Linked DNA regions of Astyanax mexicanus. The protein of the gene in region 1 interacts with the protein of each later gene in a pairwise test. Links are inferred from orthologs where the notes say so. Each region holds a gene or a part of one and is shown on either strand. Other genes may lie near its edges.

The links.
Region 2: the proteins of abtb1 (region 1) and eef1a2 interact in binary tests that used the Homo sapiens proteins (3 or more experiments, as listed by UniProt). The two-hybrid records come from large-scale screens. The link is inferred for Astyanax mexicanus from reciprocal best matches to the Homo sapiens genes ABTB1 and EEF1A2.

The regions. Positions count from the first base shown.
Region 1 is NC_064419.1:3,833,241-3,841,469, reverse strand, and holds the start of abtb1 (ankyrin repeat and BTB/POZ domain-containing protein 1), read right to left. Parts: upstream 3,090-8,229; 5' UTR 2,878-3,089; coding exon 2,822-2,877; intron 883-2,821; coding exon 820-882; intron 721-819; coding exon 665-720; intron 1-664. Other genes in the region: si:dkey-222n6.2 (keratin, type II cytoskeletal cochleal), read left to right, coding at 5,841-6,125, 6,982-7,190. UniProt on the Homo sapiens protein: May act as a mediator of the PTEN growth-suppressive signaling pathway. May play a role in developmental processes.
Region 2 is NC_064420.1:29,049,320-29,056,699, forward strand, and holds the start of eef1a2 (elongation factor 1-alpha 2), read left to right. Parts: upstream 1-4,148; 5' UTR 4,149-4,409; intron 4,410-4,664; exon of another isoform or gene 4,665-4,669; 5' UTR 4,670-4,722; coding exon 4,723-4,866; intron 4,867-6,321; coding exon 6,322-6,501; intron 6,502-7,380. Other genes in the region: MRG/MORF4L-binding protein, read left to right, coding at 533-735. UniProt on the Homo sapiens protein: Translation elongation factor that catalyzes the GTP-dependent binding of aminoacyl-tRNA (aa-tRNA) to the A-site of ribosomes during the elongation phase of protein synthesis.

The DNA.
Region 1 (8,229 bases):
TGTGGGCAGTGTGCCAAGTCCTGCTGGAAAATGAAATCCACATCTCTATAAAAGTTGTCAGTAGCAGAGGGAAGCTGTAAGATATGAAGTGCTGTTGTAAGATTTTGTGGGAAAACAAAACTGCACTGACTTTAGACTTGATAATAAAACACAGTGGATCAACACCAGCAGATGACAGACATGTCTCTTTATCCAAACCATCACTGATTGGTGGAAACTTCACACTAGACCTCAAGCAGCTTGAACTGTTTGTCTCTCCACTCTTCCTCCAGATTTTTTACTGATTTTACTGATGGTCAGTGACGGTTTGGTGAGCCATCTCATCTGCTAGTGAATAATAATACAGGTTGCTGTCCCAGGACTTTTGGCACATGAATATACTTCAATTCTCTACTATAAAATTCCAGCAACTGATGAAATAGACAGTGTTTTTCAGTAATAACACACTTTAGATTTTTGAATGTATAATTACAAAAGAGAATACATTAATAGCCACTATTAATGATAAACATTTCAAAATTAAAATTAGTAAACAAATAGAACTAAAAACATTTATTTACATGAATCACCAAAAACACACATTTTATACTTTGTAACTCTACAACAGTCTAACTACAAACTACAAATATAAAAACAGCACAATTACAGTGTAATGGATATTTACCGTTGGCCAGTAGATACTGCACCAACTCCTCGTGTCCGCAGAGGCACGCATAGTACCTTCATTCACACCAAGACACAAGGCACATTCAGCTGAGTCCACAGCAGCTACACGGAAATCAAAATACATTTAATACAGAGGAATCAATTCTGACTCACAGAGGTGTACTGTCCCATTTATCTCTCACGTTCAATTCCACATCTCTCTGTTCAACCAGGTATCTGAGCAAGAAAGAGAGAGAAAAAGAACGAGAGAGAACATTAATTAGGCAATAAATAAATATATATATTATATAATATAATTATATATATATATATATATATATATATATATATATATTACAAGAAATACATCACTGTTATGAAAAAAAAAACAACGCAAATTTCACAGTAGATAAAAAATCCTAATTCACTTTCAATGAAAGTCAAAGCACAAGTTAAGTCACAAATTATATTCCAAGTCATTTTTAAATATTTCTATTGGTCCATTCATCATGAAATTTTGATACAATATTTAACTATAAATATATAACCACAAAAATGGAGATACAACGTTTATACAACGTAAATGAGATATATTTTTTTATATTTATATTAGGAATTAATATTAATAACATAAACAAAAAATTAAATGACATAATAATGTTTTAAAGGGATCATGTTCACCACATTTTACTGCACTGTACTATTTACCCTAATATCCAATTAAAACAATGGTGAAAATTTAATAATCATCATCATAACTTTAACAATGTTTACCATAGGGGTTTCAGAAAAAGTGTGTTATATATAATATAATGTTTTGCAATATTTAACAATCTGAACGAAAAAATTATTGATCTTTTTGTGTTTCAATCCCAACCATTAGAAAGCAGTGGTATACAGTATCCCATTCTTTTGATAGGATATGCAGATTTTACACACATAATATTGATGTTTTTCCTACATAACAGTTTAAATAATTATTTATTTAAAAAATTGCCAGTATCGTATTGCTAACAGTATCACAGTCTGCATCTGAGTCTAGTATTGTTTATAGTTCTCATAATATAAAACCCCTGGTTTGATAAATCAGTGTATAATGATGTTAAATTAGATTAGCTGCTGATGGAATTGAACACATCCAATGCTTCATATGCTTCACATATGCATCTGTCAGAAACTTGTAAAACACTCTTTTATGTGACAGTGATTTTCATACTTTAAACTTTTCCTTAACTGAAGTACATAAAGGTTATGTTTGCACTGCGTTTAATATAAAAACTGCATGTAAGGTTAAAGGGGGCTGCTTACTATTTTTTTATTAAATGTAAAGGAAAAACAGCTTGCGCATCACTTTAAATTGTGCTGTTTGTTTTCAAAAAAAAAAAAAAGTTAAGAATTAGTAGTAATGTATTATCACACTTATGATGCACGTTTATGCAAGTTTCAAAAATCAATAACAACTCTGGAAACATAACGAGACCACTTCAGTTCCTGAATTAGCTTCTCTGATTTTATTCTATAAACTATGGACAACTTTTTTCCAAAATTTCAAAGAAAAATATTGTCAGTTAGAGCATTTATTTGCAGAAAATAAGAAATGTCTAAAAAAAAAAGATGCAGAGCTTTCAGACCTTAAATAATGCAAAGACAACAAGTTTATATTCATAAAGTTTTAGGATATCAGAAATCAATATTTGGTGGAATAACCCTGGTGGTTTATAATCACAGTTTTTTTTTCATGCATCTTGGGATCATGTTCTCCTCCATCAGTCTTACACACTGCTTTTGGATAACTTTATGCTGCTTTACTCATGTTGCACAAATTCAAGCAGTTAATCTTGGTTTGATGCCTTGTGATCATCCATCTTCCTCTTGATTATATTCCAAAGGTTTTTTATTTGATTAAAAAAAAAAAGAAACTTTAGCTACCTAACGTTACTTACTTTTAAAGGGTTAAGTTTGTTTACTAACGGAGTGTACAGTATGTGCTACTCTGCACCATAATTAACTCCCTGAACTAACCTCCTGAACATGTATTAACACTGTTACCAGTTTATATAATGCCCTCACTAAAATAACAACTACAATACCAGAGTCAGGGATGATAAAAATACTGATATATATCTATATATTTAGTTTAAATAGCGGCTGCAGAAGTTTAGCCCGGAGTACAGACCTCACTCTCGCAACGTCGCCCTTCCTGCAGCTCGAAAACAGATCGTTTGCGTCCATAGCGGCGATAAAGCGGCTCTGAAAGGCATTGAACCGGCCTGCCTGGAGGACGGGGCGGAGAGCAGGCGCTGGGCGGCGGGTTAGTGAAGAAAACTCGGCTGGGTCGCGGCTCTGGAGGCCCTGCTGCTCGCTGTCACTGCGCTCCGCTGTTTTGACGAAATTTCTCTCAGACGTAAACAACAGTCCTCCGCCACCATAGAGTTTCCCCACAGGCTGAGACCCTCTGCCGCCCCCTCCGGAGGAAGGTGGTACTGCAGGTCTGCGCCCAGTAAGTTAATATAAAAAAAAGTTAATTGATTTTTCCCCTAATATTCCTTAAAATTGTTCTAGGAAATAACCCTTTAAATCTTCTTTTAAAAATTGAACTTTACTAAGTACTCCCTTAAGTGTTACATAAAGTCGCTTACCAGTCTATTCCGTTAGAAGCCGCAAAAAATAATGAGATTTAATAATGAGAATAATGAGATTTTAAACTTATATTTATAGATTCATTAGGCAGTACACGTTAGTTGAATTAAGGCGATTTATTTTTTATTTACTTTTTAAAAAGTAATACTTTCAACGCTTCTCTCTAAATTAGCATAAATATCGCTACAAAATCTAGCAACAAAACCTCTAAATTTGCATAAAAGATGCTAAATCTAGTGACGAATTTTATATAAAATATATTAAAATATATATTAAAAAACCCAAACCTCCCCTTAACTCCCGAAAACCTTTTTATATTAATAAAAAAAATTAAACCTATATTAATTCAATAATTAGGCAGGATTGCAAAAGTATGACAAACTTACGTGTTTATACACGTAACATATACACATCAGTTAATATAATTTTTATTCACTTTTTCAAAATAATACTTTAAATGCTTCTCACTCAATCTACCAACAAATAGTTGCTAAATCTAGTGACAAAATCTTTAAACTAGCAAAAAAGTTAGCTAAATTCCTAGTGACACAATTTCTAAATTAGCAGAGAAGTAGCATATTGATGTTATTTATTACAGGGTGGACGCAAGAAATAAAAAGTAAAAAATTAAAAAAAATAAAAATAAGTAAAAAATAAAGGTGATTAAGTTTAAAAAGAGGATTTTTTTTTGTTTTGAAGCCCAATTAGCACAGTTTTTTTGTTTTTCTCATACTGTTTGAGTAAAATATTATTAAGACTGTCTGAATAAAACTAACCCCTTTTCTGACTTGTAGTAAAAGACACTTGCAGTTCTCTTAAGTGACCAGCAGGGAGCGTACAATCATCAATCATATCCTAATACAGCATGAAGCGCACTGGGCCTCTTGATCAAATCATGTCAAGTAGTTTTATTGTCAATACTGCGTGATATTGTGTTATAATAAAGAGATAATAGACTTAATACAGAAAAATAAAAATATATTCGCAGGGCGAGGGGAAGATTGCTGTATTTCTTTCTTAAAATATGTTTCATGATCTAATTTCAGAGCTAAAAACCAATAACTTTGTACCGTCATGTTTAGAGGTGGTGGGACTGGGACCTGGTTTAGGGGTGCTTGTGCCCCTCTAAAAAAGAGCTAGCAACTATTGTTCAGCACCTCCAGGAACTCCTTCAAGAAAACCATTCCAGGTGATTCTATCTCAAAAAGACACTGAGATTAAAATATATTAAAAAGAGTGTGTAAATCTGTCACCAAGGCTAAATGTATAAGACATATTCTGGTTTAAAACAATACTTCAATACTAGCTTTAATATAGTCTTCAATATTAAAATCACAAAGAAAAAAATACAAAACACATTGAATGAGAAGAGGTGTGTCCAAACTTTTGACTGGTATTGTAGGTGAAGTTTTTGGCACAACAGGAGAAGATCAGAGCGTGCAGGTGGCTCAGAGGTGGTTGGACAGGTCTGGACAGCAAATTAGCAGAAACATCTGACCTGACAGATTTCTCGAAACTGACAGCAGCTTTAAAGAACCATTAAACTTTAAACAATATGTTTTTGGTTAATGGACAAAATGTGTTCATTTGTTCAATGTGTTCATTCCAGTCCTGCTTACAAATTTTTATTTCCTAACTTTTCCTAACCTAAACTATAAAAACTATAAAACTTTTATTGTGATCATTTCTGCCTCTGCAGCGCCCCCTCAGGTTCAACTGTGCTATTATAGGCGAGAATGATGTGTCCGTATACTTTGGTACGCGCACACATCACAATAGGCAGATTATTTAATCAATCAATAGTACTGCCCCCCCTGTTGATGCCCAACCAAACACAGAGCCAATCAGCTCTCCCTCCTGAGAGCTGCCTCGCCTCGCCCACTGGGTGATGTATGGGTTTAGAGACGAGGGTGATGTATGGGTTTAGAGGCGAGGCAGGAGGGACCCTCCCAAACTATTCCTCCCCTTTTTTTTTGCCTTTTTTAAATTTGAGCTGAGGGTGGGAGTGTTGGGGTTGCGGTTATCAGTTCAAACTTTATTGGAAATCCTGGAAATCTATTAGAGAAAACAGACAGGAAGCTAAATATTTAATATGAGTACTCTAAGTATATTAGGCAGGTTCTTCGAATAGCAGACGGCAGCATCAGTAGATCATCAGATACCTGTGAACCAAAACATGCCAGCTCACAACACTGGTACAGAACTCTGACATCAGCAGTCTCTACTACTGAGATTACATCAGGACTGGAAGAGTTCCCAGACACACAGTGTGTGGGTGTGGGTGTGTGTGTGTTCATGTGTGTAAGCATGCATCCCTGATGAATACATGAATGTACAGTATGTGTGTGAGCTGAGCTCTGCTATCAGTTGTTAAACTTGTTTTTCCATCTGAAGAATGTGCATACCTCCAAACACACACACACACACAAAAACACACACACACACACACCCCGGCTAAGTATATATATGTTGTCAGTCCAGGACTCCACACACCTCCAATTATCACACTCCACCATACTCTACAGTCCTCAACAGTCTTCCTCAGCTCTGCAGTCATGAGTAGTCGGGTCAGCAGCAGCAGGTCCAGTGTGCGGAGCTTCAGCAGCAGTTCTCTGGGCTCGTATCCCCGGGCTGGAGCGACCATTCCCCGCACTGGAACCTCATATTTTGGCTTTGGGGATGCTCCAGCGCAGAGCCTGCCTGTTAGGGCCGTAACTGTGGACAGGAACCTGCTGACCCCCATGCAGCTGGACCTGGACCCTGACCTGCATGCGGTCAGACTGCAGGAGAAGGAGCAGATCAAAACACTCAACAACCAGTTCGCCTCCTACATCGACAAGGTGAGAGAGCTAGCCAAGTGTGTTTTACCCTGTATACTTAAAAGACTATTAAGGATTATATTTTTATAGTGATTCATAACATGATCAGAATGTAGATCAGGATGTATCATCAGAAATTAAGGAAACATGCTGAGTTTAAGCACCAACAGCTTATGTCAGCAGAGTTTCAGCCAGTATTTTAGTACTATATACTGTTTAGTATGGGTTGTAGACTTTTTTCTGCTGAACAGATCAGTAATCAGTAATCAATTTTCAAGACGTTCTCCATCAAACCTGGCTAAGCTTGAGCTGTTTTATAAAGAAGAATGGGCAAAAATCTCTAGTCTCTAGATGCGCAAAACTGGTAGAGACAAACCCCAAAGCACTTACTGTTATAATTGCAGCGAATGGTGGCTCTAGTAAATATTGATATAGGACTTTTAGGATGTGCTACTAATGTCTTGTCTTGATACTACAGGACACATTTAAAGGTCTTGTAAAATCCAACTTAGTGGATGAGAGGGATCTACACAATATGGTGGTTTTAATGTTATGGCTGATTTAAGTAAGTAACTAACAGACGATATTGCAATGTCTTCTCATTTTAACTATAGATGGTTGCTTTAATGTATTTTATTTAGTTATTGCTGGTCATGGATGGAGGGAAATTAAAATTTTATTTAAACAGCTCGTTTTCAGCTTATTTATGTTATAAATGACCTGTAACTGACATTATTTTAACTTTTAATGATTAATAACAAAAGCATCCTCACCAAGGTGTCTCTAATCATCACATCAGAGAAAAAAAAGGTCAACCAGGAGCTTCACACTATCTGTTAACATCTCTCATCTTTTATCATATCTCTCTTTCTCTCAGGTGCGCCACCTGGAGCAGCAGAATAAGTTATTGGAGACAAAGTGGAAGTTGCTGAATGGTGAGACGCGCAAGGACTCCAGGTTGGAGCCCATGATGAAGAATTATATCAGCACCCTGCAGGCCCAGCTGGACACCCTTAACAGAGACAAGGATCGGCTGGACGCTGAACTCCACAGCACCCACCAGCTGGTGGAGGACAACCAAAACAGGTTAGGCCCCCCTTAACAATCTATAGTGTGATTAAAAAGTCCATTTACATGTCCAAGTACTGGATAGTATTGCTAACACAGTTAATACAGTAGCAAAGGGTCATACACAGGAAATCCAAAAGATAAAGGTAATTCAATACCCAGCGAGGAGCTACTAAAAAAAACAAAGGGTTTATACACTAAAAGAACTAGGTGTGGGCAATCAGAAGCTCAGAGAGCTCGAGCCCTGTAGTGTCACATGATCAGCAGGGTCCTAAAAGGTCCAGTGTGATTGCATGCTGGGAAAAATGACAGTTTTTATCAGATAATTTGTGTTGCTCTATCACTTAAAATCTCAATAAAATAAATTTAAGTTTGTGGTTGTAAGGTGACAAAATATGAAAAGTTTCAAGAGTCAAAATAAAGCACAATATCATAATGTCAGTCAGTTATTACAAAAGTTATATATATATATAACTTATATATAACAAAAGTGACCCTATATAATCCTTTCATTGTCTATCCTCTCATGCAGTTGATAATGTGCCATAACATTATTGTATGATAATATAGATGCATGCATGGCAGGAAATAAAACATGAAAACATAAAAAAACTGAAAAAGTAAAAAATATAATTTCTGTGTTGTCTGAGGTCATATAAATATGATTCAAAACAATAAACCGTTTTCACAGAGCACTCACGTTTTTATTTAGCCTTCACTTAGCAGCACAGCTAACATGTCAGAATAGCCTCCAGCATTGATAAAAGGATGCTTTCACATCAACAAGTATGGAAGTGTGACAATGGTCAATTAAAAATCAAAACTAAAAAATATTAAAGTATTTTGATTATTTTAGGTCCCTCTGTCATTAACTGAGTGCAATTTCAGCTGCTTTAGGTTGCACCACTTGCTGATCAGTGTAAATAAATCCTCACAAATTCCTTTAGAAAGCTTTCTCTTGAAGTAGAGACAGTTACTCCAACAAAAGCAGAGACCCTTGACTGCGGAAGAGACAATAAATTAGCAGGTGTCCTAATACTTTTGCCCACAAAGAGTA
Region 2 (7,380 bases), on another chromosome or scaffold:
GTTCAGTTTTCTCCTACGTGTCTAATGTGAAGAAAAGGATGAGCAGCTTCATATTGCTTGTGTAGGCCTGTGTATTTATGAATTTGGAAAAGAAATTAAACTTAAAAGCATATTCCACCAAAGTAATGATAAATCGTGAATTTAACCTCTTTAGATTTGTAATACACTAAATAATTATATAGCATATTGTGGAAATTGGCAGTGCTAAAACTGTATAACTCTGTAACAGTTTTTAAAAGTTTAAGAGGTTTTAAGAATCTGCTGCTAGTGACACAATTAGTTTGTGTCAAAATATTGTGATGAATCCCATGTATCGTGAAACTGTTTTTAAATATCATGATACAGTATTCTTACCATATCACCCAACCCTACGTGGTTGGAGGAGTCTTTCACAAATCAAAATGTTCTGGTGGAGTATTCTTTCTAAGTAAAATGTACATTATTTCCCTTAAATTCAAAACGTATCTAAAATGTCACTGTCTTTCTTTCTCCCTCTCCTTCTTTTTGTCCCTCTCCGTTTCTGATTTATCAGGCAGCAATTCCTCAGTAAAGACAGAGCGCTCGGGCAGCGGGCGAGAGAAAGAGAGAGACAGGGAGAGGGGGGCCTCGGGTGAGTCGGGTGGAGGATCGAAGGAGGCCACAGGCGAGAAAAGGAAGAGGAGCCGGGCCACGGACAAAACGCAGAGCTCCGGCAACCCGTCCAGTCCTGGAGGAACCAAGCGCCGCAGGACGTAAACACGGCCAACAACGGGCGACCTGCAGACTGGTGGCACATGGAGACTCTGGCTGGATGAGACTGGAAGAAACGGTGTACTCTGGCCTGATCTGCTGCTCAGCTAAGGTTAAAGAGGAAAGATCTGAGGAGATATTGTTAGATGTTCCAGCATTTAAGCTTAGAGCTGAAGCTCACACTGATGAGAGGAAGCTCTAGTACTTCACATGTGTTGAGCGTTTTCTAGAAGAAATCTAGAAAAAAAAGTTTAAGTAATTGATGAGCAGTGGGAACTTGCTTCCATGATGTTGCTCATATGGAAGGTTAGAGGCAGACGATAATTGATTCTTTTTTTTATTTTTTATTATATTTTTTTTTAACGTAGTTTGTTGTTGGACTCATTGAGACTTACCTGAAAATGTCTTTTGATTGAACTGCTGCAGTACGAAGATGTGGGGAAGAATTGCTTTGTTGGAAACAGTTAAATACAGGGTCTATGATGGTATCATCATCATTGGTCAGATAGGGATGAATTCTTAGTACATAAAGAAATGCAGCCTCTGTTTGAGGAATCATACCTAGTGGTCATTTATGTCCGTCATACAGTAAAGCTAGTATTTTTATTTTCCCATCTGTGACGGTTCAAATTCAAAAGTCAAATTCATTGGTAATAAAGATGTTACATTACATGTTAAGGTGAAATGTGATTTTACAACCATAATGTTTTACTGTATTTATTTACTGCTCTTGTTTTAAAAGGTGCAAAGCCTTTTATTAAATCAGACTGTACTTAAGTATCAGCGTGAGTTATGTTGTGTTTTGGAAGAAAGATATGGGTGCAGAGGCTTTTTGATGGGTGCTGGTGCAGATCCAGGCGATTCACTGATCTGTAACCTAAAGACACTGAGTGTTTTTACATGCATGTTCAATAATAGGTTACTGAAGTTAAAATCGAATTATTGAAGTAGTCATATAAACAGTATACTTTAATTTCTTAGAACTGAGGTCTTAGAGTCTGAGTCTGATGCTATCATCTGTTAAAGAGAGCTGGATTTTTGCTCAGCAATTGTATTTTTCAGTGCATGTAAACTTGTGGTACCAGAAATAAGCCAGCAGCTTTAAAACATCTCCAGTGAGATGACGACAAAACACATTTGCGCAATGCTGAACCCAAACAGATTTCAATATTCTTAATCTTCTATCTATTGTATGTTTTTATGATAAAGATTTACATGATGTTTATCACCTGTTATTTTGTAAATTTGAGTTGATTGCAAAGCAAAAATCTAATTATGGCTTTACTTTTTTTAAACTAATGAATTTTAACAGTATCTGTTACAGTAACTGTTAACAGTAACTTTATGTAAACACTGATCATAATAATTGAATTATAAAGTGCATGTAAACGCACTCACTGTCTACAGTATGCTTGTGTAATGGTACACAAAATTCATGGATTAGTTTGTACCATGGTTTAGTTTGTACCACAGGTTGGACCTCATTGTTCCGTACAAGCTCAGTACAAAGAAAAAAATAAAATATAGTCTAGGTTTCTAGTTTCTTATCATGTTAGTTCTTATGAAGTTAGTTCTGCCTAGTGCTATATAGTCTGGCTTGAGGTAGTCAGTCTGTCAGCCTGTACTGTATTAATTTAGCAGTAAAAAATGGATTAAGGATGTTTAATGTCTTTCCACACACACACACACACACTGTCCAGCATCACAATTACTTCCTCCTTGGCTGATCCATCATAATGTCAAATTAGATGGTAAAAGGTCAGAATGTCGCAGAGAAAGGTGAGGAATAAGCAGGTTAAAATACCAAATAAATCCTTCTGTGCACACAGCAAGTGTATAGAAAAATACAGTTACAATAGCAATGCTCCTAAATCCACTACAGTTCCCATAATCCCATGCATTGCATCTTTATGTTGACGTTTGGCTTGTGCACCCCCATTGCATGGTGGTTTGGTACCAAGACACATACCATTACAACCCTATTGCTCTAAAAATTAAGGTGACATGAAGACCTTCAAAGGACCTGCAAAGTTTTGAGTGTTTGACATTTCTGGGCGGGTTGCCCCAACAGGGATTAAGCTGCATAACCTTTTGTATATTCCATTTTGAATGGAGATTTTCTTTCGTAAACACAATGTTCTAAAACTAGGCTTATTCCCCAAGTCGCTGACTCATTAATTCATTCATAAATTGGCCCAAATTGTTCCAAATACTGAGTTGCCTCCCTAAGATGCTTTACCAGGCCTTTCTGTTGCCTTTTGGGTGGATCTTTCTGTCTTTAATTTAATAAACTTGATCAACTTAAAAGAATGACTGCACTGTGTGTTGAGGCATTATCTGTCTGTACTATAAATTGACCTTCCTGTCAGTGCCGGTTCTACACCAACATCTGTGGTGTGCTGGTGTATGTTGTTCTAATGTAGTATATGTTGGATTAGACACTGCAGTGCTGCTTTTTTTTACTGTCCACTCTATTGGATATCGCTACCCAGCTACTGTTTCCGGTTGGTGGACTAATTTCATTCCAGAAGTGAAGAGTTTAAAAACTCCAGCAGCACTGCTGTGTCCGATCCACTCATGCCTGCAGCACAACACTGCAAAGCTGCCTGAAGGATGACCCACCAGGGTGAAAGAAGTATAACACTGAATGCAGAGAAACAAATGGGCTGTAGTAAACAGCAGACTTCAGCTGACAAGACTGACAAAGATCGTAGAAACAATGTCATAATATTCTACTTGGACTGTGTATACAGCTCAGGAAAAAAATAAGAGACCACGTAAAAATGATGAGTTGATTTTACCAAATTAAAAACCTCTGGAATATAATCAAGCGGAAGACGGATGATCTGTCTGAGTTTTTGGACTAGGAGTGGCAGAAAGTTATCCAAAAGCAGTGTGTAAGACTGGTGGAGGAGAACATTGCAAGATGCATGCAAACTGTGATTAAAATCAAGGGTTATTCCACCAAATATTGATTTCTGAACTCTTAAAACTTTATGAATGTGAACTTGTTTTCTTTGCATTGTTTGAGGACTGAAAGCTCTGCACCTTTTTATGTTATTTCAGCCATTTCTCATTTTTTGCAAATGAATGCTCTAAATGACAATATTTGTATTTGTAACTGATTGATTCAGACACGTAGTGCTCTTTTGCTTTTTCCAGCGCTCTGTATTTATATATAAAAACTTGAAATGCTTAATTCTATTCTATTGTGTCAGCCAGATTTCCACAGATGTGAGGAACTCACAGTATTATGATTTAGTCCTGATGATTATGATTACACATGTTCTAAATCTCAAGGGAATCTTTAGGAATGTGCTGAGTCACTCAGGCTTGCAGTGTGATGCTGGAGTTTTCTCCCATCCTTTTCTTCCCTTTCTCCTAACTTTCATCCCAGCATACATCCCCCACCCACCTCTCTGTTTGGTTTCTCTTGCTGCCTTTGCAGATCCCCTGCTTCAGCATCTCTCTCGTCTCCCTCTGTCTCTCTCTCTCTTCTGTCTCCCCCTCCTACCCTCCTCCCTCCCCACATAAAGTGCCGCATTGCTGTATCAAAGTGGGGTGCGTTCACTACGCAGACAGATTTAGAGCCTGCCACCCCCCCTGTGTTGGAGTGCTAAGGAAGAAAGAGGGTGTTCAGAGGGAACACGCTGTGCTGCCTGAACACACAGCTACAGCAGGTAAGACCCCAAAGACATCTATCTGTCTGTTTATGTTTATGCTTCTGTTTACACTGCAGTCAGAATTCATTATAGGTAGTTTCTCCGGCCTTTCTCTGAGTGTTTGTTTGTTTATTTTTTTTCTTCTTCTATATTTTTTTTAATATCTATTCATTTATCACATTTCCTTTATGTAAACGTTTAGATACAGTTTATTAATCTGCTTTAATCTTGTTTTATAATGAATCTGCAATGCTGTTTATTCTGTCTGTGAAGAGCAGGGGAACCCTGGGTGGGAACATTCTCTCTTCTTTCCCTCTGTGTTCTGTTCATCATGGGGAAGGAAAAGATCCACATTAATATTGTTGTGATTGGCCATGTGGACTCTGGGAAGTCCACCACCACCGGTCACCTCATCTATAAGTGTGGAGGCATTGACAAGAGAACCATCGAGAAATTTGAGAAGGAGGCTGCAGAGGTACAGACAGATATTAACTTTCCAGAAGCTTCTATGTTTACTGTGGTAGCCCTACTAAGTTTTCAGGCTTGGAGATGAAAACTGAAAGTAATGAATATAGAAAGAAAACAATAGGTTGTGTATTTGAACTGGCATTCCTGGTTTGAAAAAAAATAGTCAACCAGTGTTTTCATGGGCATGTTTGTGCTGGTTTGTGATACATAGGAACACTGTGTATATAGTCTGTATTATTTAACTCCAGACCACTCCCTGGTTTGGCATGCAATTTGTGCTTTAAAAAGTTTCTGAGTGTCTACCTGTAAAAAATGATTTATAGGATGATCTATTACATGTTTCAGTTAACATGTTTCTGTACAGGCAAGAGCAAAACAAAATATATACAAAATATCCAAAGAATGCCATTACTAATAAAAAGAAGTCAGTTATAATATATATGATTGGATTTTCAGGCAGACAGAGTGTCGTAAAACTGACTTAAAAACTTAAAAAGTTTAAATCCTTGTTTTGTGGGGTGTTTTAATAGTATGTCATACCTTTATGCATTTATTCGTTTATAGAAGACAGTCATACATACACAAGATTATATTATTTACATCCCATATAGTTCATAGGATACTCAAATACTCTTAATTAGACATGTACATTTCAGAATTTAGATATGTATTAATTTGACCATGTTTTGATTTATTTGAAATTATATTGCTTTCTAAATGTCCTTTTATCAACATTTTGTTAAAACACTGTTTTTTTAATCAATCAGAAATTGATAATCTGGAGTGTTTTTGTAGCTGTAAATAAAATCATTTCTATGGTAAATTATTTGTATTGATTAGATCAAAAAAGGGTATTTATCACAAAGTTCTTCATATGTAAAAGGTTCTTGAAAGTAGTCAAAATGGAAAAAAAAAACTTATTATTTGATTGTGTATTCATTAGTACATTATTAGGATGTTAGAATTAGTTTTCCAGAGGAGAATTAAACCTAATTCTGGATTAATCAGGGATCAAATTCTTCAGGATTTTTTTTGAGAAACCAGACGAGTTCATACTGGTAAAATCTGTTCATCTATTAAAAAAACAACAACAAAAAAACAAACCTAAAATGTATAGAAGTTCAATGACGATTTTGGCTGAATGATAAAATCACAAGTACAGCCATTAGAATTTAACATTTTTCCTTGATCAAGTTGAATATATGATATAAAAAAAAAAAACTAAAATTAATGTTAAAATGGAAATCTCAAACATATAAAGCTTTTAAAATGACGGATGATGCTCAGCATTACATTAATACAGATATGCTAAACAAATGTTTACTACTGTAGAATGATATTTGTTTCTTTAAACTTTCTCTTCTTGTCACTGTTGCACAAAAACCTTTTATCATAGGATTTTCATAATATAATAGAAATGCTTATTGAATTTAAACTTTCCAATTTTTTGTCTGCTGTCCAGATGGGGAAAGGATCCTTTAAGTATGCCTGGGTATTGGACAAGCTAAAGGCAGAGCGAGAGAGAGGCATCACCATAGACATCTCTCTCTGGAAATTTGAGACTTCTAAATACTACATTACCATCATAGATGCTCCAGGTCACAGAGATTTTATCAAGAACATGATCACAGGGACTTCCCAGGTAAAGCTGCATCACATATCGATATTTTCCAGGCAAAGGCTGAAACATCAGGCCTTGGACATATTAGTGTTATAGGTCAGTGTCTGCTGAAAGGCCCCTTTGTCTCCAGTTCTGCAGATATATACTGTAAATAAAGCTGTATTTAATCTGCTGTCTGCAGTCATTTAGCAGCTGAACTTACTTGCAGGAGAACACTAACAGCTGTTCTGTAATGTCAGCTAACAGATGCCTGCACTTGCGTTTAGCTGAATGATGGATGGAGAGACAGCAAAGCCAATTTTTCTTTTTTGGACTCTCTTGGCTGGATGGTTGTGGTATGACCAAGGATTGAACTTGCAATCTCATTGCAAATTCACTGCTGGAGCAGCATTAGCATTACCTGCTAACTGTGCTAAGCACTAGCTCTATCGCCTTTCAGAGGTAGTATTATCAGCCTGTAGCCTGCTCCAGATAGCATTAACATTACCCACTAACTGAGCTAAGCGCTAATTAGCTCTTTCGTGTTTTAGAGGTAAGTATTTCGGACCGTAGCCTGCTGCTAACCCCGGCTAGAACTGCCAGAGCAACATTAGCATTACTTGCTAACCACGCTAAGCGCTAGTTAGCTGTTTCTGTGTTCAGAGCATTGTGATAAATTGTGTACTCCTAAGATGCTTTTCAATTTATGGTCCTGTGTCAAGGCACAAGTACTTGTTTTTATCATGGGATGCACTGCATCCACATCATATAGTCATGAAAGTGACTGGCAAAATTAAGTATTTCTCCCAGAATTTTATTGCAATTACATGTTTTGTTTATATACATGTATACTTTCATTCGTGTGTATTGGAACAGCACAGAAAACTGAGAAAGCCAAAAATGTATATAATTTCTGTATAT